Linked DNA regions of Saccharomyces cerevisiae S288C. Changing the gene in region 4 together with the main gene of any one other region gives a genetic interaction. Each region holds a gene or a part of one and is shown on either strand. Other genes may lie near its edges.

The links.
Region 1: mutations in ATG8 (region 4) and VBA2 together harm fitness more than expected from each alone (negative genetic interaction), as found in Saccharomyces cerevisiae (2 studies listed by BioGRID).
Region 2: mutations in ATG8 (region 4) and SAS4 together harm fitness more than expected from each alone (negative genetic interaction), as found in Saccharomyces cerevisiae (2 studies listed by BioGRID).
Region 3: mutations in ATG8 (region 4) and BMT2 together harm fitness more than expected from each alone (negative genetic interaction), as found in Saccharomyces cerevisiae (2 studies listed by BioGRID).

Annotation. Positions count from the first base shown.
Region 1 is NC_001134.8:782,346-790,655, reverse strand, and holds VBA2 (Vba2p), read right to left. Parts: upstream 3,651-8,310; coding exon 2,226-3,650; downstream 1-2,225. Other genes in the region: SUL1 (sulfate permease), read right to left, coding at 1-1,421; YBR292C (uncharacterized protein), read left to right, coding at 5,583-5,954; CTP1 (Ctp1p), read left to right, coding at 6,084-6,983; BSD2 (Bsd2p), read right to left, coding at 7,100-8,065; SNF5 (Snf5p), read right to left, coding at 8,272-8,310. UniProt on the Saccharomyces cerevisiae protein: Transporter required for vacuolar uptake of histidine, arginine and lysine and to a lesser extent tyrosine.
Region 2 is NC_001136.10:822,334-830,623, forward strand, and holds SAS4 (Sas4p), read right to left. Parts: upstream 5,023-8,290; coding exon 3,577-5,022; downstream 1-3,576. Other genes in the region: cohesin-loading factor complex subunit SCC2, read left to right, coding at 1-3,443; putative lipid phosphatase CDC1, read left to right, coding at 5,249-6,724; YDR182W-A (uncharacterized protein), read left to right, coding at 6,818-7,021; PLP1 (Plp1p), read left to right, coding at 7,252-7,944.
Region 3 is NC_001134.8:523,448-531,504, reverse strand, and holds BMT2 (25S rRNA (adenine2142-N1)-methyltransferase), read left to right. Parts: upstream 1-3,466; coding exon 3,467-4,480; downstream 4,481-8,057. Other genes in the region: SUP45 (translation termination factor eRF1), read left to right, coding at 1-636; MAK5 (ATP-dependent RNA helicase), read right to left, coding at 867-3,188; GTPase-activating protein IRA1, read left to right, coding at 4,877-8,057. UniProt on the Saccharomyces cerevisiae protein: S-adenosyl-L-methionine-dependent methyltransferase that specifically methylates the N(1) position of adenine 2142 in 25S rRNA.
Region 4 is NC_001134.8:76,940-84,434, forward strand, and holds ATG8 (ubiquitin-like protein ATG8), read right to left. Parts: upstream 3,793-7,495; coding exon 3,439-3,792; downstream 1-3,438. Other genes in the region: NUP170 (Nup170p), read left to right, coding at 1-2,828; isoleucine--tRNA ligase ILS1, read right to left, coding at 4,104-7,322.

The DNA.
Region 1 (8,310 bases), 710 kb from region 4:
ACGCAACCGCCAGTGAATACCCCAGAAAACGGAGTGCGCACGTTACATTTTGCTTTCAAAGCAGATCTGGAAAATGACCCAGTTGCTGGATATGAGTGAAAAAATGTCCCTATCAAATTTGTCACACCAATCGCAATAAGTTCTTGGTCAGGGACAACCTTGTAGTCGTTAATTCTACCAAAGGATTTTGAAATAGCGATGTGTTCTAACACCAGAACGATAATTGAAGCAGGTATTTCTGAACTCATATTAGATAGCAGACCGTCTGGGATTTTCATAACTCCCACCTCATTTAAGCCCGAGGGAACTGTACCCAGAATACTGATTGGACGGTCTTTTGAAGATTTGTTTCTTGTTATGCTCCACGATATGGCAGTAAAAACTACTATGACGACGGCATTTCTCATAGCTTGTGCATAGAAATAGAAGGATTTCAGTCTATTTGCTACCTTTGGTTGATTTCGATAATATCTATCTGCCAAAGTTATACCAAATGTACCACACCACCATTTCCATACATAGAGGATTACCAACGGAATCAAGCCAAAAACGGCGTCTAACTTTGTGTTTGGTAAATGTTTCAGAGTGTTAATTACAACCTTATACGTTGCTTCTCTGGTATTCACTAATGAGTTGTATCCCATGAGAGCCGGAATTTGACCCCAGATGATGTTAAATGCGGAACCGGTCATGAAGCCAGCAACAGCATTTAGAGAAATAAGTTCCACTAAAAAGCCTAAACGCAGTATACCCAACCCAGTGGCGACAATCCCACAAAGCAAACAAAGGGTAGTTGCAATGATAGGAGCTGTAACTTCTGTCTGGTCTTCGGGATATTTTTTTAGAACTTCAGCAATGACTTTGGCAGTTTGTAGTGACATTACAGCGACCGGACCAATACAAACATCTTTCGATGTGGCAAACAAAGAATATATAAACGCACCAATAAAGGAGGAATACAAACCATATTCAGGAGATAAACTAGCGATTTGTGCGTATGACATAGATTGGGGCACGAGTACGCAGCCAACTGTAATTCCTGCCACTAAATCAGCATAGCCCCACGTAAAGTTATAATGAGGAAACCATTTTATAATAGGAAAAAGAGATACGAGGTAACTTCCTGCCGATTTCGCAGTTAGATTGTTTTTGATAGAATGATCATAGTACTCCTTCAAAGTGACTGTGCTCTCTTCATACGCTGGAATGGAATCGTACAGGACATCTGATAGCTCATTTTTCGTTACCCCAAATTTCTGCTTACTACTATTAACCTTCCAATTTTCCTCATCACCATTGTGAAGTCCGTCTCTGTTTTCTGCCGCCTCAGATTCCCTATATGTGCGGTATTCTGATTCAAATACTTCGATATCAGCATCCTCCTGATTATGCACATATTCAGTCGAGCTCTTACGTGACATATTCTTTCCGAGTATTCTGCAGGGATTTATTTTTATTTTTAAAGCTATTGACCTGGTTTTGAGACGTTAATGTCAGCTAATATACTTTTATATAATCGGTTTCACAATTTTAAATCGAAAATTTTTCTACAATAGAAATATTAAGTTTGAGCAGTACAAGATCCATGTGCATTACAACACATTTTACTTCACTATTTATATTATTCTTTTGGTCTTTGTTTCTTTTTTTCACAGTGCATAATTTCAAATGACAGTGTTCGAGAAAAGACATGAACAGGTAGAAGTGTTCAAAATTATTATGGGTCTAATTTGACAACTTGTTCGTTATCGCTTGCTGCGTGGGGAAGGTGTGGAGTTTTTCTGGGATCTGTGACTCAAATTCCGATTTGCAAAATTGCAAAGCCGCACTGTGGTTCCAGCGAGACTATAAGAAAAAGTCAGATTTGGACAATTACACGAGATCTTTATTAAAAAAAGTGCACTCGAGGTGGCGGTAACACAAAAAAGTGGGGGGACTTTACAGCAAGTTTTCTGAAGCCTTTTTTCATTGGTTTGTGACTATTTTAGGTTATCACAGCCACATCTTATTCACAGATTATGAAAGTAGTATGTATTTAGTTAAAGTTTACAGAGGATAAAAAAACTATAGAGATAGTTGCATTCGCTCACAGTTCAGCACTGTCGGTCAATTAGAAACGTTGCAATTCCACGAAATACAAAAAAAGTTTAGTGTCAAGTAGAATATCTAGTTTCAATACTGTTAATGTATCAATTGAGTCGGTCAAGGGCATAGGTATATATTGTTTATCTTCTTGTTTTAGGTTTCGCCAGATTGTCTTTAAGGATGCAGAGTATCAGGGCCAATGAAGAGAGTAATGTAGACATTAGATGAGCCCTCTTTGTTGCCTCATCAAAACTCTTTATGACTGTGTTTTTAACTTCGCCATGTAAAGATCCAATATATGAGGAGTTTGCACTAAGCTGAACAATAAGTTTCTTTATCTTGTTTTCATCCAGTAGACCTTTCAAATTACTACGCAATAAACCTGCGAAAGATAATTGAATGACGCCAGCTGAAATTGCAACACCCCATACAGATCCAATACTACGGAATAAATATAAAGTTGATGTCGCAGTAGCTTGGTCACTCTTAGAGAACATAAATATGAAAGTAAACAAGGTCGTAGGAAAAGTGATACCTTGTCCTAGATTTGCAGGTATCAAAAATAGACCAATCAACCAGTTCGGAGAAGTTTTTTCAATAAACAGGAATAAAAAGTTACCCAAAAACATCAAAGAAATACCAATGTAGAGTAATAATCTTAGACAGTTGTACTTGCTCATGGAAAATCCTGTTATGAGACTGCCTACCGGAGTAAATAGGGAAGGAATCGTAAGACGTAATCCTGCTTTTGCAGTGGAATCTCCAAGTACAATCTGAAAGAATAATGGTAAAGTAAAAAGATACGCGTAGCTGGCAAAACCAACAAGTATACTTATCGAAAGTACAACGACACTGTAGGAGGAATTGACCAGCTCCATAGGAATAATCGCTCTAGCACTTGTTTTCCTTTCGTGCAATATGAACAGTAAGAGGATTATTACACTCCCAACTAATAGCAGTAGCACAGAAGGGCTGGTCCATGATAATTTAGAAGTAGAACACCCCAGGCTCAGGTAAAGAAGCTGTAGTGTGAGACCAGTTATAATAAGAATTGAGCCCATAACATCTATGTCCCTGAGTATTTTTCCGGGATTTTGGAATATGCTAGAATTTTGACGATTATATTCTTTCTGATTAGGTACATAATAATTCATTAATATGGAACTAATCACAGATATGGGTACTTGGATGAGAAAACACCACCTCCAACCAATGCTCGACGCTATTGTGCCACCGAAAGACGCTCCACATATGGCACCAAATCCCAAAAGTAAATTCTGAAACGCTTGAAAAATTCCTCTTTTCGAACTTGGAATAACGTCTGAATTTACGATTGTAGAAAGTGTGATCAAGCCACCACCTCCTATGCCTGTCAATGCTCTCATAAAACTAAGCATGTAGATGTTTTTCGAGAAACCACAGGCTAGACATCCAATGGTAAAAGCCCCATTAGCAAAGAAAAGGCAGTTTCTTCGACCAAGTGCATCAGAAAATGACCCATAAAGAGGTTGAAAAGATGTTGATGTAATTAAATACGCAGTGGTGATCCAATTTGAAATACTCATCTGATTAAATTCGTTACCAATCGTTTGGTACGTCGAAGCTGTAACGGTTCCGTCAAAACCGGACAAAAAGACATTAGAAAAAAGAGTAGCTTCAATAATCCATCAATTTGGGATTCTTGAAAGCGCTATATCTTCGCCTTTGTCCAAGTCCTCATCTAAGTCTTCACTGTAGTCGACAGAAGGAATTTCAGTCTCTTCAATACTGCCATAGTTTCCATCCTTGCTTTTCGGTAGTACTTTGTGTTTACTAGATTTAAGCATTGCGAAAAAAAATCTGATTTGGAATTAATGTTTCATTTACTACATTTTAAAGCATTTTGTACCATTCAGAGGCAAGAATTGGCCAATACTGTGTGTTCTTATAACGATAACTAGTATATATATTCTCGAAATTGTATATTTCTGTGGATTTGCACACAATCATCTAATAGCAAATTAGGAAGAAAGCCACACATGCACATATATCGCATCACTTACCGAGCCTTAGAATGTGGTTGCCACACATTAGGACATGTTACCCCCCGCACCTAGCAGAAATATAGTATTAATCTATCAGTGCTCAACACAATGTGATATCAGTACAATTCTTCATGCCATGGTACGTCGTCTCTATTTTCTTTTATATTCTGTTTATTATATCATGTTCTAAAAATGTCATATATACAATTCTGAAAAGGTTTTTGACCCTTACGTAACGCTATTCGGTCAACTACTTGTGAGACATATATTGTTCAAATATGTAAATGAAGAAAAGTACGCCTATTACTAGGATCCACAATACCGTAAAGCCTGTTAAACAAGGAGGAACAATATATATATCATAATTTTTTTAGAAAGAAAAGCCAAAGAAACAGCATTTGCAGGCACAAATCCGTGATAATAATGCATAGAACAATATGTGAAACCCCACAAGGTTACTGGTCGGATGATGAGCGAGCCCAGAGAAACCAACAGACCTCTGTAAACATCACTATGCCTTATCACCACACTTTACCATAATGCATTGAAAGTGCAATTGGAGAAGCCACCAATAGACGAGCTATGATGATATATTTAGCGTCCCTTAAAATATCGACTTATACAGTGGATAACATTTCCGCTCGCATTCCTCGAAGAGCATTATTTCCAAACTACTGTTGAAAAAAAAAAAATACGAAGACGACGCTTACCTGAGCACCCAGGATGTACACTTCGCCACAAATTTTGAGAGGCCTTTTGTTGTGATATTAGTTGAAATATATAACCACTTAATCAGGCAAAAAGACAGCAGTCACTATTTCAAGTTGGTAAAAAAATCCTGTTTTCGCTAATTGTCGATTTGGCCTTTCACCTGGACTTGAAAGCTTCAATTACGGCCTGATACATTCATTCTTTATACTGACCTTTGCCCAATTTATTATCCAGAACTATAGCCATTAGGTTGCAGGCCACTGGGACCACCACTGACTGGAAAATATTCTATTGACGAATTTTCCGCAACTCATCGCTGATTAGTTTATGAACTTATCCCGTCGGAATGAGAAAGTTACATATGCAGGAATTCTCTACAAGCAGCAATAACATGCTTTTATTTTACTGTCGTATTGTAATTGCTTATTCGGTTCCAAACATGTCAGCTATGCCAATATTTTAGAAGAGTGGGAAAAAAAAGAGATGTTATAGACGAACGACAAAAGTTGTGAAAAACTCGAATGGAGTAATGGAGCAAGAAACAAGAATCTGTCATAGTCAATACGTGATTTTGATATGCTTTCAAGCTTCTGAGAACTTCATTCATTACACTCCACCACATATACTATACAACGAATAGCCCAGTCGAAGAGGTTATGATTGTGTTCATTTATTTTTTTACATGACAGAGTCTCCCTATTGATACTAAGCTTGCTGCAATAACTCTTCTTACTAAGAGGTAACTTACATCTTGACTTTTTAATGAAGTTCCCAGCCGATTACCATTATACGTCGCCGTTTCGTTCATGTAAATATTCAAATATACTACACTTTATATCTTTGCTTCTTATATTTTCGCGCGTAGGTTTGCCTAATTACATTTTTATATTCCTCATCAATAAAGCCGCCAACAAAGAGCACAGGGTAGAAACTCTGCTGTCTGGGAACTCGGCTAACGCTTGTAAGCTATTTAATATTCTCAAATCATTTCAACACCTCTTTTTTTTTTTTCAAATATGTACTATTTTCTCTATTTCCATTAAGTTAGTCTTACTGAAGAGTCAAGAATATGGAAGAATTCCTGCGGAATTTTCAATTATTAGAAGTGAAAAAAAAAAAAAAGAAGAACAATGAAATTTAGTCTCACTTTAGCGTGATATATAAAACGTAAAATGTCGAAGCCAACGTAAAATTAAAAACATTTTGATGTCACAATGAAAGAACTCCAAAGTAGAGCTTGAATTATAAATTAGCATTTTACCGATGTCCAGTAAAGCTACCAAAAGTGACGTAGATCCATTGCACTCGTTTCTGGCAGGGTCCCTAGCCGGTGCTGCTGAAGCATGTATAACATATCCTTTTGAGTTTGCCAAAACAAGGCTGCAGCTGATTGATAAGGCCTCCAAGGCATCAAGAAATCCTCTGGTATTGATATATAAAACTGCAAAAACTCAGGGCATTGGTTCCATTTATGTCGGATGTCCCGCATTTATTATTGGAAACACCGCTAAGGCGGGTATTAGATTTCTTGGCTTTGATACCATTAAAGACATGCTAAGAGATAGTGAAACTGGAGAACTAAGTGGTACAAGAGGGGTGATAGCTGGGTTAGGTGCGGGACTATTAGAAAGTGTTGCCGCAGTGACTCCTTTTGAAGCAATCAAAACTGCTTTGATCGATGATAAACAATCTGCTACACCAAAATACCATAATAATGGGCGCGGTGTAGTACGAAACTATTCATCATTAGTCCGTGATAAAGGATTTTCTGGTCTTTATCGTGGTGTTTTGCCAGTTTCCATGAGACAGGCCGCAAACCAAGCCGTTAGATTGGGTTGTTACAATAAGATTAAGACCTTGATCCAAGATTATACGGATTCGCCAAAAGACAAACCTTTATCATCCGGGTTAACCTTCTTAGTGGGTGCATTTAGTGGTATTGTGACGGTCTATTCCACCATGCCCCTTGATACTGTGAAAACAAGAATGCAAAGTTTGGATTCCACCAAATACTCCTCTACAATGAATTGTTTTGCAACCATTTTCAAAGAAGAAGGGTTAAAGACGTTTTGGAAAGGTGCTACGCCTAGACTTGGGAGATTGGTCTTGAGTGGTGGTATTGTTTTCACTATCTATGAAAAGGTCTTAGTTATGCTAGCCTGAAATGTATTATTGTGTACAATATATCATCTAATGTTTTCTACTCGTTATAAGTCTATTTACCAGCCGATCACTTAAAAAAGTTATATATCTCTTTTTATCATAATGAAGAAGATGGCTTATGCTTGATTTTGACTTTGGTTGAGGTATTTCTTTTCCAATTTTTTGACTTGAATGTAGTCGTATATACTCTTCAGGGTGATAAATAGCCCAAGAAATGCCACAAAAACAGCCAACCATGGTATGTTTTGTTTTTCTTCATCCAGACCGTGATTCAAATGTGATTCAAATTTATCTTGTGTCGTTGATTGTGAATTTAGACGAACATCATCGAATTCATTTGGATCCTCTAATTCCATTCTATTTAAGCTTTTATTTTTGCCGACTTTTGAAGTAACATCATTGGGAATCATTGAATAACCATATCCAATGAACGTTAACCCTAATCCAAACCTTGAACCTTGCTTTGCTGCGTGAGATGTGTGTAAAATGTAGGTTATTAAAAATCCAATGAACTGAAAACTCGTGCTTACGATGATATTCCATAATAAATTTGCTATATTTCCTACAGGAAGCCCCTCAATGCATATTTCGTCGTAGTAGATATCTGAATTGTTCAAATCCATTCCATAATACGAGGGGGCCATATCAGCAGCAGCTTCGTCGTATGTAGGTGGTATGTCTTGTTCGTTATTACCTTCAGTCTCTGTGGTATCTGGTTTTGCGCTTAAATTGCTAAAGACACCATCAAACATGGCACCTTGTTGTATATCCGAAGACTGTTGTGTACGTTTCTTAAAAAGTCTATCAAGAATATTAAAATGTCTTCCTATTTTTCCTATATGTCTGGCTGCTTGTTCCCTCAGCTGGTGTGGTACTAGTCTTTCTGTCGTACTATTTCCTCCACTGCTGCTTCCCTCGTCCTCTATGCTATCTTCCTCGTCAGACCCTATTTCCGTTTCCCCTTCTACGCCAGTTTGTGTGTCTCTAGTTCGTCCTGCGTTTCCGACATTTATGCCATCAGTAGATGAACCTGCATGAAGTGTATTCATTTCTTGCCCTATAAGTAGTTCTTGCTCTGGCATAGCGCTTAGTTTCCTAGACTACGTGTTCTTGTTATTCTCATGCTCTTTTTATGTATCTAAATTGGAAGATTTTTATAAAGGTTATGTACTATTCTTCTAAAAAAAGTAGGCGCAAAGGGACTCCGCATCGTATAACACGATGATAATACAAATTCTTCCACGGTTATTTACATCTCCGGTATATTTTATATATGTGTATATATTTTCTATGTATTCTGTGTGTTATTGTTACTGCTACCATTATT
Region 2 (8,290 bases), on a different chromosome or scaffold from region 4:
AATACATACGTAACGGCCCTTTTCTGGATGATAATGTCACGGCAAAGCTTGTGTACATCTTTAGCGACTTGCTGATGAATAATGACATTGAAGCAACTACGAATATCCAATTTCAAAGTTTTTGGGATAATGTGAAGAGAATCAGCTCTGATATTTTAGTTTCATTATTCGGTAGTTTTGATCAACAGAGAGGATTTATTATAGAAGAACTACTATCTCATATCGAAAAGCTTCCCACTAAGAGAATACAAAAAAAACTAAGAAAAGTTGGTAACCAAAACATTTATATCACTGATTTTACCTTTACTTTAATGTCAATGTTAGAGAATATTAATTGCTACTCCTTCTGTAATCAGATGAAGGATATTGCACCAGAGAATATTGATCTATTAAAGAACGAATACAAAAAGCAAGAAGAATTTCTTTTTAACATTGTTGAGCATATAAATGACACAATACTGGAAAGGTTTTTCAAGAACCCGTCCGCTTTAAGGTATGTAATTGACAACTTTGTCCAAGATCTATTATTGCTAATTTCCTCCCCTCAGTGGCCTGTAACAGAAAAAATACTAAGCTCTTTGTTAAAGAGACTTCTAAGTGTATACAGCCCATCCATGCAAGTTTCTGCAAACATTGAAACAATATGTTTACAACTTATAGGGAATATTGGTTCTACAATTTTTGATATTAAATGCTCAACTAGAGACCATGAAGATAACAACTTGATTAAAATGATTAATTACCCCGAAACTTTGCCGCATTTTTTTAAATCATTTGAAGAATGCATTGCATATAATGAAACGATCAAATGCCGTCGTTCTGCAACAAGATTCCTTTGGAATTTAAGGCTCGGTACGATCTTGATATTAGAAGAGTATACAAAGGATGCCAAAGAACAAATTATAACCGTTGACAATGAATTGAAAAAAATATTGGAGCAGATAAAAGATGGTGGACTTGGACCCGAATTAGAGAACAGAGAAGCAGATTTTAGTACGATTAAATTGGATTATTTTTCTATTTTGCACGCCTTTGAACTACTGAATCTATACGATCCATACTTGAAGTTGATATTATCACTTCTAGCCAAGGATAAAATCAAACTGAGATCGACTGCTATTAAATGTCTCTCGATGTTGGCTTCAAAAGACAAAGTGATACTTTCAAACCCAATGGTTAAAGAAACTATTCACCGGCGTTTAAACGACTCATCTGCATCTGTCAAGGATGCCATTCTAGATTTGGTCAGTATTAATTCTTCATACTTCGAATTTTATCAACAAATTAACAACAACTATAACGATGATAGCATAATGGTAAGAAAACATGTGTTAAGAATTAATGAAAAAATGTACGACGAGACGAACGACATCGTCACGAAGGTATACGTAATAGCAAGAATCCTAATGAAAATAGAAGACGAGGAGGACAATATAATTGATATGGCTAGGCTGATTTTATTAAATAGATGGATATTAAAGGTACATGAAGTATTGGACCAGCCCGAAAAGTTGAAAGAAATTTCTTCTTCAGTCCTACTAGTAATGTCCCGTGTGGCTATAATGAATGAGAAATGCTCCCAACTTTTCGACTTGTTTCTCAACTTTTATCTCCTAAACAAAGAAGCGCATTCAAAAGAAGCATACGATAAAATCACTCACGTTCTAACCATTCTTACCGACTTTTTGGTACAAAAAATTGTCGAGCTCAACTCAGATGACACAAATGAAAAGAATTCGATTGTTGATAAACAAAATTTTTTAAACCTTTTGGCGAAGTTTGCTGATTCTACTGTGTCATTTTTGACTAAAGACCACATTACAGCATTGTATCCTTATATGGTATCGGACGAAAAATCTGACTTCCACTATTATATCTTGCAAGTCTTTAGATGCACTTTTGAAAAATTGGCCAACTTTAAACAGAAATTTTTGTATGACTTAGAGACGACCCTTTTGAGTAGGCTACCAAAGATGAATGTAAGAGAGATAGATGAAGCTATGCCTCTTATCTGGTCTGTTGCCACTCATCGTCATGATACTGCTAGAGTAGCTAAAGCATGTTCATCCTGTCTTTCCCATTTACATCCATATATAAATAAGGCAAATAACGAGGAAGCTGCCATTGTAGTTGACGGAAAATTGCAAAGGCTGATATATTTATCCACCGGTTTTGCCAGGTTCTGCTTTCCTAAACCCTCCAATGATAAAATTGCATTTTTACAAGAAGGTGAAACCCTGTATGAACATATTACCAAATGCCTACTTGTACTATCTAAAGACAAAATTACACACGTAATAAGAAGGGTTGCTGTGAAAAATCTCACTAAATTATGTGGAAATCATCCAAAACTATTCAATTCAAGACACGTTCTACATTTACTGGACAAAGAATTTCAGAGCGATCAGCTAGATATTAAACTAGTAATTCTAGAAAGTTTATATGATCTTTTTCTACTGGAAGAAAGGAAGTCAGTGAGAAACACTGGCGTTAATAGCACTTTGTCTTCGAACTCCATTTTGAAAAAGAAATTACTGAAAACGAATAGGGTAGAGTTTGCAAATGATGGAGTATGTTCAGCGTTGGCTACTAGATTTTTAGACAATATTCTCCAACTATGTCTCCTACGTGATCTAAAGAATTCTCTCGTAGCTATTCGATTATTAAAGTTGATTTTGAAATTTGGTTACACAAATCCCTCTCATTCAATTCCAACTGTAATTGCTTTATTTGCCTCTACTAGCCAGTATATTCGTCATGTCGCCTATGAGTTGTTAGAAGATCTTTTTGAGAAATACGAAACGCTAGTATTCAGTAGTTTATCTCGAGGGGTTACAAAAGCTATACATTATTCTATTCATACAGATGAGAAGTATTATTACAAGCACGATCATTTTTTGTCTTTACTTGAAAAATTATGTGGAACTGGAAAAAAAAATGGCCCAAAGTTCTTTAAAGTTCTGAAGAGAATCATGCAATCCTATTTAGATGATATCACCGATTTAACATCAACAAATAGTAGTGTTCAAAAGTCCATTTTCGTTCTCTGCACTAACATTTCGAATATCACATTTGTTTCTCAGTACGATTTGGTGTCCCTACTCAAAACCATTGATTTAACTACAGATAGATTAAAAGAGGTTATCATGGATGAAATAGGTGACAATGTTTCATCGCTATCCGTATCAGAAGAAAAGCTCAGTGGAATAATTTTAATACAGTTAAGCTTACAGGATTTGGGTACTTATCTACTGCACTTATACGGGTTAAGGGATGATGTGCTTTTATTAGATATTGTAGAAGAATCAGAATTGAAGAACAAACAACTCCCTGCAAAGAAGCCGGATATCAGTAAGTTTTCCGCACAGTTGGAGAATATTGAACAGTATTCATCAAATGGCAAGCTTCTTACATATTTTAGAAAACACGTGAAGGATACGTAAATATATTGCACTTAAAATATACATAGTATTAATAATCATTTTGCATTTTCCATGCTGATTTTTCACGCAGGTTTTGAGAAGCAACTATGAAATATTGAATTTCATTTACACCATCGCATTATATTAGTTCAAACTAAACCTTTTTTTTCTTGCGGACAGGCAAAATATTAATACCTGAGTTAGTTTTCATTCCATTGTGTGTTTTTACAAAGGTCTTTTCGTTACAAGAGGGCACTATTGCTAAGTTTGGGTTGATATTGTTAATAATAGCACCCACATTCTCAGAAGACCTTTGTGAAATCTGAGATGCAGTGCAAGATGAAATTGAACCTAAAGGTGCCTTCTCTGAAAGAGTTGGACTTATAGATGCAGCATTGTTCCTTAAGGCATTCATTTCTTTTGATTTGACAGTCTCTGTCACAGATATTTCCTCCGCTTTAACATTCAGTTTCATAGACTTTTGTGTATCTTGCCTTATATCCCGAATGACTTCTGGTTCCACCTCCATCGTTAACGGGATGACTTCCCTTCTTCTTTTCACAGCAATTTGCGTTGATATTCGAGGAGCTTTCTTGAATTTTTTTGGATTTGTGGGAACTTTGTTTTTCCATGAATTTCTCTCTTTAGTGGAGGTTTTAATCAAATACGGTTTTCGGAGCGGCTCAGCTACGATAGCAAACCGTGTCATTCCCTTTTGTGATTGATGATCGCTCAGCAGTACTATAATGGAACCACCGCATTGCTGCTCTCTCTTCTTTAGGCGTCTCTCCCTTATTTCCTCAACGGTTATTTTTTCTTCTTCTTCGTCAGAGGAGCTTGCGTAATCTGGAATAAAAGTTCGATCGATTCGAGTATATATCTTGGGCCAATCTTTGCCACTAACCAATTTCAACAATGAATCACTTGAGGCTGGCCTTCTAGCTAAATTGCGGCTTTTTTTTTTCATAGATTCAAATTTATGTAACATTGAATCAATCAGCTCTTTAGTTTGGTAACGTTTAGTCTCCATTTCATTCTCGTCAGTGGGGTCATTTATTTTAGTAACCTTCTGTAATGTTACTTCCCAATTCAACATACCCAGTCTGTCTGAAATTAATGAAAGCCTGTCTGCTTCATTTTCACCATTTACGATGTCCGATTGAATCATTCTATTTTCTTGCTTCAACATTTTCTTGTGGTAAGGCTGATACGTGCTATCAGGAAGCAAATCATCAGTTGGTTTTCTAATATTCTGGCTCAATTCATGATGTTCAATTTCTAGTGTCATCTTTGTAATTGTCTCTCTCTTTTTCTTGATCTCATCATCGACATTACTCATGAACGGCGACTTCATCACAGGTTTCTGACAACGCGTTTCGTCAACATGCTCATCTACAGTAAAGCAGGACTTAGATTTCCTTAGATGTCCAGCATTTGGGTTTATCCTGCTGACTAATCTTAACTTCCTTTTAGGGTTAATTTCGTATTCTTCTGTATCAAAATCGAATTTTTCAAATTCTCCATGACTATTTTTAATCTCAGACCTCAGCAATCTCTCAGAAGTATTATTTGCTTCTTCTATTGATTGAAAAATACCCATTGATGAACTCTCATATGCTTTTAATGCTGTAGAAATTTTCGGTTTTCCTTTTTAATCTTGCTACTTTTTGTTTTGAGATCGCTGAAATCAACTCGCGGGTTAGATTTTCTTATTTTTAAAAATGTAGAACGAACGATTATGGAAACAACAATAACCAAAAAGAAAGGGAAAACAGTACCGCTTCTACTAATCTGTTGGATACATTAGACAATAAGCTCTAGGAAGTATGGTATATCGTAACAGGTCAAAGAGCGTTTTATCTACACACAGCAAGAAGAGCGACGATAAGGCCCACTATAAATCACGTTCGAAAAAGAAATCAAAAAGCAGGAGCAAGAAGAGGTTAAGAATCTACTGGAGATACATATCTATTGTATGGATCTTATGGTTAGGATTAATATCTTATTATGAATCAGTGGTTGTGAAGAGAGCAATGAAGAAGTGCCAATGGTCGACTTGGGAGGATTGGCCTGAAGGCGCTGAAAGTCATAGGGTGGGTTTATTTGCAGACCCACAAATAATGGACGAATATTCATATCCTGGGAGGCCTCAAATAGTTAATTATTTTACAAGAGTGATTGTTGACCATTATCACAGGAGAAATTGGAAATATGTCCAGTATTACTTGGATCCTGATAGCAATTTTTTCCTAGGTGATCTATTTGATGGAGGGAGAAACTGGGATGATAAGCAATGGATTAAAGAGTACACACGATTCAACCAAATATTCCCCAAGAAGCCACTGAGAAGAACGGTCATGTCTTTACCAGGTAATCACGATATTGGTTTTGGAGACACAGTTGTTGAATCGAGTTTACAGAGATTTTCTAGTTACTTTGGAGAAACTTCCTCCTCATTAGACGCTGGAAATCATACCTTTGTACTTTTAGATACAATTTCGCTTTCTGATAAAACAAATCCGAATGTCTCGAGGGTTCCTAGACAGTTTTTGGATAATTTTGCAATGGGTTCACATCCGCTTCCTAGAATTCTTTTAACTCACGTTCCATTATGGAGGGATCCAGAACAGCAAACGTGCGGTCAGCTACGTGAATCCAAAGAACCTTTTCCTATTCAGAAAGGGCACCAGTACCAGACAGTTATAGAAAACGATATATCACAAGAAATTTTAACGAAAATTCAACCAGAAATATTATTTTCCGGGGATGATCATGACCATTGTCAGATATCACACTCATATCCGTTTCAGGGGAAAACTAAAAATGCTCAAGAAATTACAGTAAAGTCATGTGCAATGAACATGGGGATCAGTAGGCCTGCTATTCAATTGCTCTCCTTATATAATCCTTCAGATTTGACAATGGTAAATGCCGGCGGAGAGTATGCATCAAAAACTTACCAAACAGAGCTATGCTATATGCCAGATCCCTATAAGGCAATCAGAATGTACCTATGGGGATTATTATTCTCTGCTGCCTTTATCGCATACATGCATTTTTTCCCAAAATCTTTTAATAATCGCGTAGCAACCATAATGAACAGAGTATTTACACGACCTGATGGTAACACCTCAGATTTGCCATTACCTACAAGTATTTCCAAATCGAAATCCAAAAAATCATTGACACATAGTAAATACGCTGTGAATGATACGCGTTCGATCAAACAATTTCTAGTTAATGCAATTGTCCTTTTTGTTTCTGTGATGCCCATTTTTATTTATTTTTATACTGTAGTCTAGACAGAATTACTGCTATTCTCTTCCAGGATCAAAATGCTTTGAAGGGAAACGTCTGGCTATTTAATATATGCGAATACACCTTATATACAGACAATGAACAAGAGATATAAATTATACCGGGTGTGGTATTACTATGCTCACCAAACAGTTTGCATAACCTCTACTGGATTTGCATTATGTTTTGTGGTCCAAGCTAAAACTGCAGGACTGGGCGTAACACCAATTACTTCACTATACGGGGACAAAAAAGAACACCTAGGTAAGTTGTTGGTTCCTTTAGTTTTATATCAAATTTAGCAAGTCATGACGGCAAATTTCTTTGTAAGCTTTGTTTAAAAGATGGATACAAAAGGACGACTTTCCTTTCAATCTTTCGTTTTTGCTTTTTATTATTCCATAGCAATATAGTGATCATAGTAGTGTAATTTTTAGAGTTTAAAAAACACGAAAGTAGGATGAAGTACAAAAGATTAACGAAAATACTCCATTCTCTTAACAACTCATACGTATATGAAGATTAAATTAATATGGAAGATAAATTAGACAGATACTACACAAATGTGCTTTCAAATGCTGAAAAGGATAAACACACAACTGTCGATAGCGATGACAAAAGTAGTGGCGAGGAAAATTTAGATGAACTACTTAATGAATTGGATAGAGAATTAGACGAGGATCATGAATTTTTGAGTGCTTATCGGTCGGAGAGGCTACAACAAATATCAGATCATTTAAAACAGGTCAAGAAGAATGTTGAGGATGACGGATACGGTAGATTGCAGTGCATTGATAACGAGGCAGATGCTATCCAAATATGTACAAAGACTACTATGGTGGTCATACATTTTGAATTAGAAACATTCGGTAAGTGCCAGTATATGAATGAAAAACTGGAAAACTTGGCAAAGAGGTATCTAACCACGAGATTTATTAAAGTAAACGTCCAAACATGTCCATTTTTGGTTAATAAACTGAATATTAAAGTACTTCCGTTTGTAGTTGGATACAAGAATGGCCTAGAAAAAGTTCGCTACGTAGGATTTAGTAAACTGGGAAATGACCCTAATGGGTTTGATATTAGGAGGCTAGAGCAATCTTTAGCCCATTCAGGTGTTATAGAAGACACATTCGAAATAAGAAAGCATTCATCTGTGAATACGGAACGCTTCGCTTCTACAAATCATGATAGAAGTGAAAGTGATAGTGATTTAGATATATAACTAAATAACCATTACCTCCCTACTAAAAATGACTCGATGGTCTTTTAAGCCATACGCATGAGCGAAAATGGTTCCTCCTGTTCAAACTAAATCGGTTATTCGAGCGTACCGTTGAAAATTTAATAAAACGTTTTGGGGGATTTATAGAAAGTTAAATACGAAATATGCGTATAGTAATGTTTATACATGAAACTCAAAAATGCGACTGTGTTCCTTAAAATAATAAAAGTTGAGTACGAATAACGATGACTGAGAAAGGTAGTGTATATTGTATATAAAATTGGACCATCTTTGTAGTAAAGACAAAAAAACCAATAAATGCAGATAAACTTAGCAGAACTAACTC
Region 3 (8,057 bases), 450 kb from region 4:
GCTGACTTTAAGACCGATTTGGCTAAATCTGAATTATTCGATCCAAGACTAGCATGTAAGGTTATTTCCATCGTGGATGTTTCTTATGGTGGTGAAAACGGTTTCAACCAGGCTATCGAACTTTCTGCCGAAGCGTTGGCCAATGTCAAGTATGTTCAAGAAAAGAAATTATTGGAGGCATATTTTGACGAAATTTCCCAGGACACTGGTAAATTCTGTTATGGTATAGATGATACTTTAAAGGCATTGGATTTAGGTGCAGTCGAAAAATTAATTGTTTTCGAAAATTTGGAAACTATCAGATATACATTTAAAGATGCCGAGGATAATGAGGTTATAAAATTCGCTGAACCAGAAGCCAAGGACAAGTCGTTTGCTATTGACAAAGCTACCGGCCAAGAAATGGACGTTGTCTCCGAAGAACCTTTAATTGAATGGCTAGCAGCTAACTACAAAAACTTCGGTGCTACCTTGGAATTCATCACAGACAAATCTTCAGAAGGTGCCCAATTTGTCACAGGTTTTGGTGGTATTGGTGCCATGCTGCGTTACAAAGTTAATTTTGAACAACTAGTTGATGAATCTGAGGATGAATATTATGACGAAGATGAAGGATCCGACTATGATTTCATTTAAATAAATAAAAGGGGGAGAAAAAAATCGAATCAAAAAGAATTTAATCACTAGATGCCAGATTTAAATTAAATTCGCTTTTAATTTTTTGTACAATATAATATATACTTGGTAAACCTTTTGCTCTATATTGAGCTAATTCCTTTGTTGAAAGTACATAGTGGGTTTAGAGGACCGTGTATATTACGTAGAAAATACAGTGAAAGGAGAGTTTCTCTTCAAAAGCCTCGAGATTAATTATTTCTCTTTTTCTTTTTCTTCAAAGTTTCTAAGGCGTTTGTCTTTTCATGACCAATGATAGAATTATGACCTCTTTTTTTGACCAAGTTATCAGCTAAATTCACTAGCCCACCTGTCAAATATTTCTGTCTTCTATCTTTACGTATAGGCACTGATAACAATTCGTTCAACGTAGCTCTCATGGCTTTTACCTTGTCCTTATTTATAGTCTTCTGCATTTTTTTATTTTTATTTTTTAGTAAGAAAGTGTCCGAATTACTCTTTGATATATCGTCTTCGTCGGAATCAACGTCAATACCTAATTCATCAGCAGCCTTTTTTAACCAATTGTCATCTTTTCTTAGGGAATTAGAAGCAATTTCATGATCAGCCAGTTCGCCTGCTAATCTACTTCTTTCTCTGAGTTGTGAAAGTATATCGGTTTCAATTGGTAACAAAGGCACAGTGTTTTGCCACTTGATGGGTTTTCTGTTAGTTGATCTAGAGTTCAAATCCGTCGAAACACTATTTTTTGTAGCGAGAGTTTTTCTTAACTTTCTTAATGGGCCCATAGATTCTTGAGGTGAGCATATCATGGCAGAGACACCTTCAGAACCTGCTCTTGCAGTTCTGCCTGATCTATGAATATAAATATCAGTAGATCTTGGTAAGTGGTAATGAATAACGTGTTGAACACCCGGAATATCTAAACCTCTAGCAGCAACATCACTTGCAATCAATACTGTTGAGAGTTGAACGGAATCCGGATTCGAATGATTTATTGTTTTCTGTTTAGCGCTTTGTTGCTTGAACCTTTCTAAGCTTTTCAAACGGTTCTTTTGTGTCATGGAAGAATGAATTTGAAAAGCTGGGATGCCTAGGTTATTTAAGTATACGGTCAATTTCTTCACGGAGTCAATGGCATTACAAAAGATCAAAGTTGTACCTGGGAACATGGTTAAAAAGTAATAGCAGTATAGGTCACGTTCTAATGGAGGACATTCAATTAAGGATTCTTTGATTTGAGAGCTCACTTTTGACTCAGGATTTGTATCTATTATAACCGGCTTTGAGTTGAAGTGAATTTTGCTCATTAAGTGTTGTATTACGGCATTTAGCTCATCTTCGTTGTTTTTAAACCTTCTATCCTTAACTTGACGGGAAGAAGATAGCTTATCAAACAAGTCGATGGAGAATGTTGCAGAAAAGATCAAAGTTTGCCAAATTTTGCTACTGCCCTCGGAGTTTTCTCTGTTTTTCCTTCTTTCTACTAATAAATGTTTAATGATTTTTTCGAACTCGTCGAAATGACCGTCTTGTAACAGCCTATCAGCCTCATCAAGGATTAGCGTATTTACTTTCGAGAATCTTTTGATTAAAGTGTTGTCTTTTTCCAACAGTTCCAAAAATCTACCTGGTGTTGCGATGACAATTTGGCCACTATTATCGTACTTTAATAGACGTTGTTGTTTTTGGATAGAGAGTCCACCTGTCAAAGATAATATCGAGTACTGAGATTTCGCTAGAACAGGCTCACAGATCTTTTTTAAGTGGTCTGTGACTTGATGCGCCAGTTCTCTTGTAGGAGTAAAGATTAACGATATTGGTTTCTTGTTTTTCTGAGAGAAGTTACTGATCAGTTTCTCTACAATTGGAATACCATAGGCTAAAGTTTTACCTGAACCTGTAGAGGCTTTCCCCATGACGTCTACGCCTTGCATAATAACTGGAATAGACTTTTTTTGAATTTCTGTAGGTCTGAGAAAATTTAAATTCTGCAAGCTCTGCAAAATAGTCATTGAGAGAGGTGCAAGATTCGTCCATTCAGGTAAATTTACAGGAGAAATATCATCGATATTAATGTCTTTGTTAAAGACGTTTTCTTTCAAAACATCCTCATCCACATCCTCATCCACATCCTCACTGGGATCGGTTAACTTTGAACTCTCAATATTACCTTGCTCATCCTCGTCGGATGATGAATAAGATGCTGCACTCAACTCTCCTTCTTTAATATCGTCCAAGTTCTTGAATTCAAGGAGCTCGGACTCCGAATCTGACCCTGATTCATTTTCCACAGATTCCTGATCATCTCCGACTTTTTCCTTATTGCTATCTTTTAACACTTTTGAATCTTTTTTGGTGACGAAAGTTACTTTACCATCCACGACTTTAACGTCCACTCCGTCAATTTCTTCCAAGCCATAAAATCCACCAAAGTCATCTAAAGTGTCCGGAATATCTACTGGTTTCCAGTTCAATTTGGATTCATCTACAATTATCTCCTGTGGCTTTGTGACCGTTTTTCCTTTTTGAGGAGCCCTTTTCTTACCCATGATGGAAAAACTGATTATGCCGGTATTTGACTAAAGAATTTCTACCTGAGGTTATGATGATAATGATGGGCAGGTTGGCGAATATAACTTTTTTAGATGGAAATTCTTATAAGCTCATCGCTGGAAAAGTTTTTCAGAGAAAAAGAAAAGTACGGACTAACTAACCTTGAGGCGGGTTTGTGAGGTGAAAAAAAATATAACAATTATAATATCGATGAGCTAGCCATGACCTTGATGGCAATCTTGTATCAGCTTAGCGATACCACTAATACAGCGGAATGCATTCAAGAAAGTCGAAGAGTATTACGGGCAAGAGGAAGCAAGTAGGAAGTAACGTGACGAGAGTAATCAAGCCACAGAAGACAAGAAGGATAATAAGAAGATTCCACCATTTAATTAATAAGCGTCAATCGATATGCAAGTTTTTATGCCTTAAGGAAAACCTAGATGATTCCAACGAGGAGAAGAATGACAAAATTATCAGGTTAAGTATTAAAGGTAATGTAAGACTGGGCAAGTACTATGAAGACGGCAAATCGCAGTCCTTCAATGATGCTATGGAATCACAACTACTGAGGCTGCACTCATTAATTAAAAATGAATCCAAATCAAAGGATACTTCTGACTTGGCTGTGATGTACACATTACTTGGTTACATAATGAATCAGATTAATAAATTGGGAGGACTAGAAACTTACCAAATTGCCAGTCAAAACGGGCAATTGAAGGAACGAGGAGGAGACACGTCCAAGTTGCTCGAGAAATGGATCAGGTCCTCATTTGAAAATTGTCCTGGAGCAGTGGCATTAGAAATTGGTTCATTGAGCTCCGGAAATCGCATATCCCGTTGTGCACTTTTTAGAAATGTGGTTCGTATAGATTTAGAGGAACATGAAGGCGTTATTAAGCAGGATTTTATGGAAAGACCGCTACCGAGAAATGAAAACGACAAATTCGACCTGATATCATGCTCTCTAGTGCTAAATTTTGTCAAAAATCACAGGGATCGCGGTGCAATGTGCCATCGCATGGTCAAATTTCTCAAGCCGCAAGGCTACATCTTTATTGTTCTGCCACAAGCCTGTGTGACGCACTCAAGATACTGCGACAAAACACTGTTACAAAACCTCCTCGGCTCTATCGGGCTCATAATGCTTAATAGCCATCAAAGTAATAAGTTGTACTATTGTTTGTATCAATTGCAGGTAGTTCCACCGCAGCCGAGTAGCTTTTCCAAAAGAATCAAGGTTAACGACGGCCCTGGGTTGAACAATTTTGGTATTACCCTCTAAGCGAGCCGACACCGCCTGGAAGTTTTTCATAAAGGGATACAATATAGAAAGATGTGTAAAAACGTTAAGTAAAAGATGAGCAAATGAACAGTGTTCGAAGGAGAATAACAAGAGTTACTGCTCATATAAAACTAATATACTAAAGGTTTTCGCTTTGTATTACGATTGAAACAATTAACTGTTTTTTTTTTTTCCGCTTATTACACAGTACCGGTTTCATTTACGCCTTTGATCATTTTATTGGCATTGGGCTCATAGTAGTTTTCAGCGCGTGGTTAAGCTATTTAACGAAAGCGTATAAAGTCAAGTGATCATCTTTTGCCCTGCAAATAGAGCTTCAAACTTAACATTCTTCTTCAGCATATAACATACAACAAGATTAAGGCTCTTTCTAAAATGAATCAAAGCGATCCGCAAGACAAAAAAAATTTCCCAATGGAATACTCTTTGACCAAGCATCTTTTTTTTGATAGGCTTCTACTTGTTCTTCCCATAGAATCTAATTTGAAAACATATGCTGATGTGGAGGCAGATTCAGTTTTCAATTCGTGTCGGTCCATCATTTTGAATATAGCCATCACTAAGGACTTGAACCCGATTATCGAAAACACATTAGGTTTAATTGACTTGATTGTGCAAGATGAAGAAATTACGTCTGACAATATTACAGATGATATTGCCCATTCTATATTGGTTCTTTTGAGATTACTGAGTGATGTTTTTGAGTATTACTGGGATCAAAACAATGACTTCAAGAAAATTAGAAACGATAATTACAAACCGGGATTTTCAAGTCACAGGCCAAACTTCCATACATCTAGGCCAAAGCACACGAGAATCAATCCAGCTTTGGCGACGATGTTACTATGTAAAATTTCTAAGCTGAAGTTCAATACAAGAACTTTAAAGGTTTTACAGAACATGTCTCACCATCTTTCTGGCAGCGCTACTATCTCAAAATCGAGTATTTTACCCGATTCACAGGAATTTTTACAAAAGAGAAACTATCCAGCATATACCGAGAAAATAGATTTAACAATAGATTATATCCAGAGATTCATATCTGCTTCCAATCATGTTGAATTCACAAAGTGTGTCAAAACAAAAGTTGTTGCACCTTTATTGATATCACACACCTCAACCGAATTGGGCGTAGTAAACCACTTGGATTTATTTGGTTGTGAGTATTTGACTGATAAGAATCTGCTAGCATATCTGGACATACTACAACACCTGTCAAGTTACATGAAGAGGACCATTTTTCATTCGCTTTTGTTATATTATGCTTCCAAAGCTTTTTTATTTTGGATAATGGCAAGGCCAAAAGAATACGTCAAAATTTATAACAATCTAATATCATCAGATTATAATAGTCCGTCTTCTTCATCTGATAATGGTGGTTCGAATAATTCTGATAAAACGTCTATATCCCAACTAGTCTCACTGTTATTCGATGACGTTTATTCCACTTTTAGTGTATCATCATTATTAACAAATGTCAATAATGACCACCACTACCATCTTCATCATTCATCTTCTTCATCAAAGACGACCAACACTAATAGTCCAAACTCTATATCAAAAACGTCGATAAAGCAGTCGAGTGTGAATGCTTCTGGCAATGTTTCTCCGTCTCAGTTTTCTACTGGGAATGATGCATCGCCTACTTCCCCTATGGCATCATTGAGTTCACCCTTAAACACGAACATCCTAGGGTATCCGTTATCTCCAATCACTTCAACACTAGGACAGGCGAATACTTCCACATCGACTACGGCTGCAACTACCAAAACAGATGCAGATACGCCCTCTACTATGAATACTAACAACAATAATAACAATAACAACAGCGCTAATCTTAATAATATTCCACAACGCATATTTTCCTTAGATGACATTTCATCCTTTAACTCGAGTAGAAAATCACTCAATCTAGATGATAGTAACTCCTTGTTTCTTTGGGATACTTCTCAGCATTCTAATGCATCGATGACAAATACAAATATGCATGCAGGAGTTAATAATTCTCAGTCTCAGAACGATCAGTCTTCTTTAAACTATATGGAAAATATTATGGAGCTGTATTCCAACTATACCGGATCAGAACTATCCTCCCATACTGCCATATTAAGGTTTTTGGTGGTTCTGACCTTATTAGACAGTGAAGTATATGATGAGATGAACTCAAATTCGTATAGAAAAATTTCGGAACCGATAATGAATATTAATCCGAAGGACTCTAATACTTCAAGTTGGGGCTCAGCATCCAAAAACCCAAGTATCAGGCACCTCACCCATGGCTTAAAAAAACTTACTTTACAGCAAGGCAGGAAACGTAACGTTAAATTTTTGACATATTTGATTAGAAATTTGAATGGGGGACAGTTCGTTTCAGATGTTTCCTTGATTGACTCTATCAGGTCCATTCTATTCTTAATGACAATGACGTCTTCTATATCCCAAATCGATTCAAATATTGCTTCTGTTATTTTTTCGAAGAGATTCTACAACTTGTTGGGTCAAAATTTAGAGGTCGGCACCAATTGGAATTCTGCCACTGCAAATACTTTTATTTCTCATTGTGTTGAAAGGAATCCCCTTACACATAGGCGTTTACAATTAGAGTTTTTTGCAAGCGGTTTACAGCTGGATTCTGATTTATTTTTAAGACATTTACAACTGGAAAAAGAACTCAATCACATAGACCTTCCCAAAATATCGTTATACACTGAAGGATTTAGGGTATTTTTTCACCTAGTAAGCACCAAAAAACTTCATGAGGATATTGCAGAAAAAACCTCCTCTGTGTTAAAGAGACTTTTCTGCATAATTGCTGATATTTTGTTGAAAGCAACGCCTTATTTTGACGATAATGTAACCAAGATTATTGCTTCTATATTGGATGGGCATATTTTAGATCAATTTGACGCTGCGCGAACACTTTCTAATGATGATCATGTCAGTTTTGATGCTGCCACAAGCGTTTACACTGAGCCAACCGAAATTATTCATAACTCATCGGATGCCTCGTTAGTCTCTTCACTTTCCCAATCACCCTTATCAATTAACTCAGGAAGCAATATCACCAATACGCGCACCTGGGATATTCAATCAATCTTACCAACCTTATCGAACAGATCAAGTGCTTCTGATTTGAGCTTGTCTAACATTTTGACTAATCCGTTGGAGGCACAACAAAATAATAATGCAAACTTGTTAGCCCATAGATTATCTGGGGTTCCTACTACTAAGAGATACGCTTCACCGAACGACTCTGAAAGATCACGACAAAGTCCATATTCTTCTCCGCCGCAATTGCAACAAAGTGACTTGCCTTCTCCGCTCTCAGTCCTCTCGTCAAGTGCAGGATTTTCTTCTAATCATTCGATTACGGCAACCCCAACTATTTTGAAAAACATCAAATCTCCAAAACCAAACAAAACAAAAAAAATTGCTGATGATAAACAATTGAAACAGCCTTCTTATTCAAGAGTAATACTGAGTGACAATGATGAAGCAAGAAAGATTATGATGAACATTTTCAGCATTTTCAAAAGAATGACCAACTGGTTTATAC
Region 4 (7,495 bases):
GGTCTAAAACTGTCAAACAACAGCCAGTTACTTTACAACATAAGCTTTTCGTTAGTGTTCCAGATTATGGTATCTTGAAAACACACGGTAAGTACGTTGAAAATGCCACGTTTTTGGAAACTGCGGGCCCAGTTCAACAAATTATTCCCTTATCGGGGTTGTTTAATGCAACGACAAAGCCACAAGGATTTGCTAACGAATTTGCGACACAGTACACATCAGAAACTTTAAGGGTAGCAGTTTTGACGAGCACTTCTATCGAAATTTATAAATATCGTACTCCTGATGAAATTTTTGAGGATCTAATCGATAATCCGCTGCCATTCGTCTTAAATTATGGTGCCGCGGAAGCTTGTTCCACTGCATTGTTTGTTACTTGCAAATCAAATAAATCTGAAAAATTAAGATCTAATGCCCTGACTTTTTTAACTATGGGTATTCCTGGCGTTGTTGACATCAAACCTGTCTACAACCGTTATTCTGTATCTACAGTATCCTCTTTATTGTCAAAGCCCACTTTATCAACCGCAACAACTAATCTCCAACAATCAATAACTGGCTTTAGTAAACCCTCCCCTGCAAACAAGGAAGATTTTGACTTAGATGACGTAATATTATCCCCCAGATTTTACGGTATTGCATTATTGATTACCAGACTACTTCGAGATATTTGGGGGAGACATGTCTTCATGACTTTTACAGATAATAGGGTGACATCCCATGCTTTCATTTCTTCTTCTGATCCAATCACTCCATCTATTAATAACCTAAAAAGTGATGAAATTTCACAAAATAGGAACATAATATCAAAGGTTTCTATTTCCAAGGATTGTATCGAGTACTATCTATCTTCAATTAACATTTTAAATGAATTTTTCATCACTTATGGTGATTCAATTTCCCAAATATCAGCTCCCTACGTATTAGCGAACAATTCTAACGGCAGGGTTATTGATAAAACAGAAGAAGTTGCAAACCAAGCGGAAAGTATAGCGATTAATGCGATGATCAAAATGGTACAGTCCATAAAGGAAGGTCTATCATTCTTGAACGTTTTATACGAGGAAAGCGAAGTCGAAGGATTCGACAACCAATACCTTGGTTTCAAGGATATAATCAGTTTTGTAAGCTTGGACGTCCAAAAAGATTTAGTCAAACTAGATTTTAAAGATTTATTTGCTCCAAATGACAAAACAAAATCATTAATTAGAGAAATTTTATTATCCATCATCAATAGGAATATCACCAAAGGTGCGTCGATAGAGTATACCGCAACAGCTTTACAAGAACGCTGTGGATCATTCTGCTCTGCAAGTGATATATTAGGATTTAGAGCCATTGAACATCTTAGAAGGGCTAAAGAAATTGGCTTGCGTAACTATGATTCTCTAAACTATCACCTGAAAAATGCTACTGCTTTACTTGAACAAATTGTGGATGATCTTTCTATCGAGAAATTGAAAGAAGCTGTATCAATGATGCTGAGTGTAAATTATTACCCAAAATCTATTGAATTCTTATTGAATATTGCCAACTCTATGGACAAAGGCAAACTAGCTTGTCAATATGTGGCAAATGGATTTTTAGAAAATGATGATAGGAAACAATATTACGACAAACGTATCTTAGTTTATGACCTAGTTTTTGATACTTTAATAAAAGTAGACGAACTTGCCGAAAAAAAACAGTCATCAAAAACTCAAAACCAAATTTCGATATCGAATGACGATGAAGTGAAACTGAGACAAAAAAGTTATGAAGCCGCCCTAAAATATAACGATAGATTATTCCACTATCATATGTATGATTGGCTTGTGTCTCAGAACAGAGAGGAAAAACTATTAGATATTGAAACTCCATTCATACTCCCTTATTTAATGGAAAAGGCAGGTAGTTCATTGAAGATATCTAATATACTCTGGGTCTATTATTCAAGAAGATCTAAATTTTTCGAATCTGCTGAAATTCTTTACCGTTTAGCTACATCGAATTTTGACATCACATTGTTTGAAAGAATTGAGTTTCTTTCACGCGCCAATGGTTTTTGCAACAGTGTGTCACCATTAAGCCAGAAACAAAGAATTGTACAATTAGCTAGTAGGATCCAAGATGCATGTGAAGTTGCTGGTATTCAAGGTGATATATTGTCGCTCGTGTATACAGACGCAAGAATAGATTCAGCCATTAAAGATGAGCTGATCAAAACTCTAGATGGTAAAATATTGAGCACAAGTGAGCTGTTTAATGATTTTGCTGTACCCTTAAGTTACCATGAAATTGCCCTATTCATTTTCAAGATAGCAGATTTTAGGGACCATGAAGTAATTATGGCCAAGTGGGATGAGCTATTCCAATCTTTGAGGATGGAATTTAATAATACCGGAAAGAAAGAAGATTCAATGAACTTCATCAACTTACTGTCTAATGTACTGATTAAAATTGGTAAAAATGTTCAGGATTCTGAATTCATTTTCCCCATTTTCGAACTCTTTCCCATTGTCTGTAATTTTTTCTACGAAACACTACCTAAGGAACATATTGTATCAGGGTCGATAGTTTCTATATTCATAACAGCGGGTGTTTCTTTCAACAAAATGTACTATATTTTAAAAGAACTAATCGAGACATCAGATTCCGATAATTCCGTATTTAATAAAGAAATGACCTGGTTAATTCACGAATGGTACAAATCGGACAGGAAATTTAGGGACATTATTTCCTACAACGATATCATTCACTTGAAGGAATACAAAATTGATAATGATCCAATTGAAAAGTACGTTAAGAACAGCGGCAATAATTTGGGGATTTGTTTCTACAAAGAATAAAAATTCATGTTCGACATATAGATAGCAGGGTAATGTACGTGTATATTTTAATGTAATAAAGAGGCCTTACTAGACGGTAAAGTTAAGAATATCGAGTGAACTTTTCCTTAAGATAAAGGTAAATATAGTCGAGTATTTATTTATTATTCTTTTCCACTATACAGTATTTAAAATTCTGTAAGAAATTGATTCTACATACATAAGACAAACGAACAGGTCAGAGAGAATCAGATTTTTGGTTAGCAAGAATACATTTTGGAGAAGAAAGACATTAACTCCACCTTACTGTATCATCTTATTTGCTTTTTCACTCCTTCCTAATATTTTTTTTATTTTATTTTGAATTTCTTCCTATTTCTGATGCATTGAACAGATCGTAATCTGTAAGTAAATACCATAACGTGCTCACATTTGTCTCCAAATACTGGTGAAATCTTGGCTCCGTTGTGTACAAAACTTCTTAATGAATATATATATATTTTTCCCTTATTTTATCTTTTTTTTTCGAATTTTTTATGTAAACATTCTTATACTGGAACAATAGATGGCTAATGAGTCCCTATAATTTCGATTTTAGATGTTAACGCTTCATTTCTTTTCATATAAAAGACTACCTGCCAAATGTATTTTCTCCTGAGTAAGTGACATACAAAAACCCGTCCTTATCCTTGTGTTCTTGATATATGGCAGACATCAACGCCGCAGTAGGTGGCAAAGTATCATTGACAAAAATGAAGATGGCCTTCTCAGGGGGTAGCATAATTCTCTTTCTTATAACATAAACAAATTGCCCTACGGTAAGGTCAGCAGGAACTAGATATTTACGCTTATCAATCTCTGGAATATCTGACTTTTCAGCTTTTTCGCAAATCACAGGTATCCTATTCTTGAACCTGTCAGCAATCCTCTCCGACTCCGCCTTCCTTTTTTCAAATGGATATTCAGACTTAAATGTAGACTTCATGTCTCTAGTAATTATTTTATTATGATTTTCTCAACTTTACAATTATTAGATTCTCTTATCAATCCCCTCCTCAACCTTTAATGGTTCCCCTTTTTGTATTTCCATAATTATACCAAATATTTTTGCCGCCGCCGAAAATAACCGGCCTCCGGGTGATGATATATCATGTGCTATGATTTCACGGGTATTATACAACATTATCGGTGGAGACAGTTAGCATTACATGACTCTAACTTAAACGTAAACTTACACATATACATCTATATCACTTCGAGTAGAGAAAAATTTGTACGTATTTATATGAGTTGTTTTCATAATTTGAACACTTTTAATTTGAAAATGGTGTCATTAATAGATTGTTCTTCATCACCAATTGGGTCTGTCTTTGAGCCGTCATATTTGGCAATGTCGGATCTACAGGTCTTGCTTAACATATCAAAATGTTCTTTGACAATGGCTTCAAAGTCGATAGTATCTTTAACTAATTCGTACTCCACTAAAACATCGTCGGTGGCTTCCAAACCACACTTCTTTCTCAATTTTTGGATTCTGTTGACCAGCTCTCTTGCGAGACCTTCACTCTTTAGTTCAGAGTAAATATTTGTATCCATGATGATTAACACGTCTTGGTCGGTTCTGGTTTCTTGTCCAGCTTGGACAGCAGATTCTGGCAAGCCTCTAATAGCATTCAAATCTCCTTTAACCAGTTCAATACCGGCAACCTCCAACTTTCCGCTTTCCAAATATTCCCGTACTTGCTCAGAAGTGACTGATGGTAGGGCATCTTTAACCTTCTTTGCGTCTTTTTTCAACTTCTTACCCAATACAGGCCAATCAGCAACTGCTTTATACTCAACACCATATTTTGCCTCATCGGAGGTGATAACAACATCACGAACATTTAATTCCTCGATAATGTAGTTTTTCAAGGCTTCTACATCCTTCAAGTATGATTCATCACTGTGAAGGATGACCAAAGTCTTCAATGGAGTTTTTAAGGAAATAGTTTTCTTTTCACGAATGTTTCTACCCAAATCGATAACGGATTGCATTCTAGAAACTGCAGTTTCGATGGCCTCGTCAAAGTATTCTTTCTTGACCACTGGGTAAGATAAGAAATGGACTGATCTTCCGTCCTTACCGTATTTTGCTAAGACAGCTTCTGGGATGTATTCCTTCAGTCTCAAATAAATGCTTTCTGACAAAAATGGGGTGAATGGAGCCATGGCACGGACAAATGTGAATAAGGCATCGAATAAAGAATTTAATGCTTTCAAACAGTCCTCAACACCGTTTTCACCCTTCAAACGACGACGATTAAATCTAATATACCAGTTTGTCAATTCATCAATGAAATTCAAAAGTTTTGGAACGACAGTGTATAATTTGTACTGACCCATTTCTTCGTGAATGAATTGTACTAGAGATTGCATAGAAGCTAAAATCCATCTGTCCATGACATTATCACTTTTCACAGAATCATCATATTGGAAGTCGATGTTAGACATCTTTTTCAACAAGGCAATTTGACCGTCCAAAAATTTAAAGGAGTTCCACCATGGTAGTAAGACCTTTGAAACAACCTCCTTAACACCCTCTTCTTTGAATTTCAAACTTTCAGCTTTTAAAACAGGTGAGTTTATCAAGTACAATCTTAATGCATCCGCACCATATTTGTTCAGAACAATGGATGGATCAGGGTAATTTTTCAAGGATTTAGACATCTTTCTACCATCGGCAGCTAAGACAATACCAGAGACGATGACGTTCTTGTATGGAACAGAGCCAAATAGATGGGTACCTAAGACAGCTAACGTGTAGAACCAACCTCTTGTTTGATCCAAACCTTCAGAGATGAAATTAGCTGGAACTCTTTCGTCAAATTTTTCTGTGTTTTCAAATGGATAATGTTGAGAAGCATAAGGCATAGAACCAGATTCAAACCAACAATCAAAAACTTCTTCAATTCTCTTTAAGTCACCCTTACCTTGCTTGGATGGAATTGTCAATTTGTCAATGACATCACGATGCAAGTCAGTGATGTTACGCACACCGGTCAATTCTTCCAATTCTTTGATAGAACCAACACAGACGACCTCCTCAAAATCGTCTGAAACCCATAAAGGAATTGGAGTACCCCAATATCTATTTCTGGAAACGTTCCAGTCACGGGCATTGGCGATCCAGTTGGCGAACCTCTTTTCCTTGATGGTGTTAGGAACCCAGTGAGATTTCATCACAGAATCCAACATTTGAGGGACAATGTTTTTAACACGAACGAACCAAGCTGGAACAGAACGGTATAACAATGGGGTATCGGATCTCCAACAGAATGGATAGGAATGGCGAATTTGGGATGCCAATAACAAATTTCCAGTATTAGTTAAGTACTTAATAATCAACTTATCAGCGTCCTTGACATAAACACCCTCAAAATCAGGAACGTCTTTCGTGAATCTACCAAGGTCATCAATGGCGTTAGGTAACACTGAATCTTCGGATATGACGCCGTTCTTCAAACAAGCAGCATTATCCTCTTCACCGAAAGCGGGAGCGTTATGAACAATACCAGTACCGGAATCACTAGTAACATAATCATCTGAAATAACTCTAAAAGCTGTTTCATGGAACTGTTCAGCGAAATATGGGAACAATGGTTCATACTTCAAACCAACCAAATCAGAACCTTTAATTTTTTCCACAATCTTATATTTTTCATTCTTAGGCTTCTTATACAAGGTTTTAATCAAAGATTCTAATAAGATGAAATAACGATCTCTGGTTTCGTCGTAAATCTTTACATATTCGAAATCAGCGTTAACACATAACGACAAATTGGAAGGTAAAGTCCATGGAGTCGTAGTCCATGCGACCAATTGAGTTTTTTCCTGGCCAATAACATTGAAACCAATGGTCACAGCTGGGTCGTTAACATCTTTATAGTTTTGCTGAGCTTCAAAGTTACTCAAGGGAGTGGTTAGGCCAGTAGAATAAGGCATAACTTTGAATCCACGGTAAACTTGACCTTTTTCATGAAGTTGCTTGAAAGCCCACCATGTGGACTCCATAAAGGATGGATACATAGTCTTGTAATCGTTGTCGAAATCAATCCAACGACCCAAACGACCAATAGTTTTTCTCCAATCACTGGCATAAGTCATAACAATGGATCTACACTCATTGTTGTAGTTTTCAAGACCATACTTGAAGACGTCATCTTTACCCGTGATACCTAATTTCTTGTCAATGATATGTTCAATTGGAACACCGTGTGTATCCCAACCGAATCTTCTTTCCACGTGGTGGCCTGTCATGGTAGCGTATCTTGGAACAATATCCTTAATAGTGGAAGCAAGAATATGACCGTAATGAGGAGTACCGGTGGCAAATGGAGGCCCATCGAAGAAGGAAAACTCCGGTTTGTCTTTTGTTAATTCTAATGAAGTATGAAAGGCATCTATTTCATCCCAAAGAGATAGAACTTTTTCTTCCTCCTTTGGAAATGAGAAGTGTGCGTTACTCTCGGACATATTTCCTTGGTTTTTTGAAGCTTTTGGCTAAAGGTTGTAGGAAGTCGAGTAACATCACTCTAGTTTAAAGCGCAAAATGATATTTTTCATGCTTAAGAGTCATCATTGTTTCGAGATTTCTTGCGTGCTGCGGAAACAAAAAAAAAAAAAATTTTTCGTCATCATGGATAGAT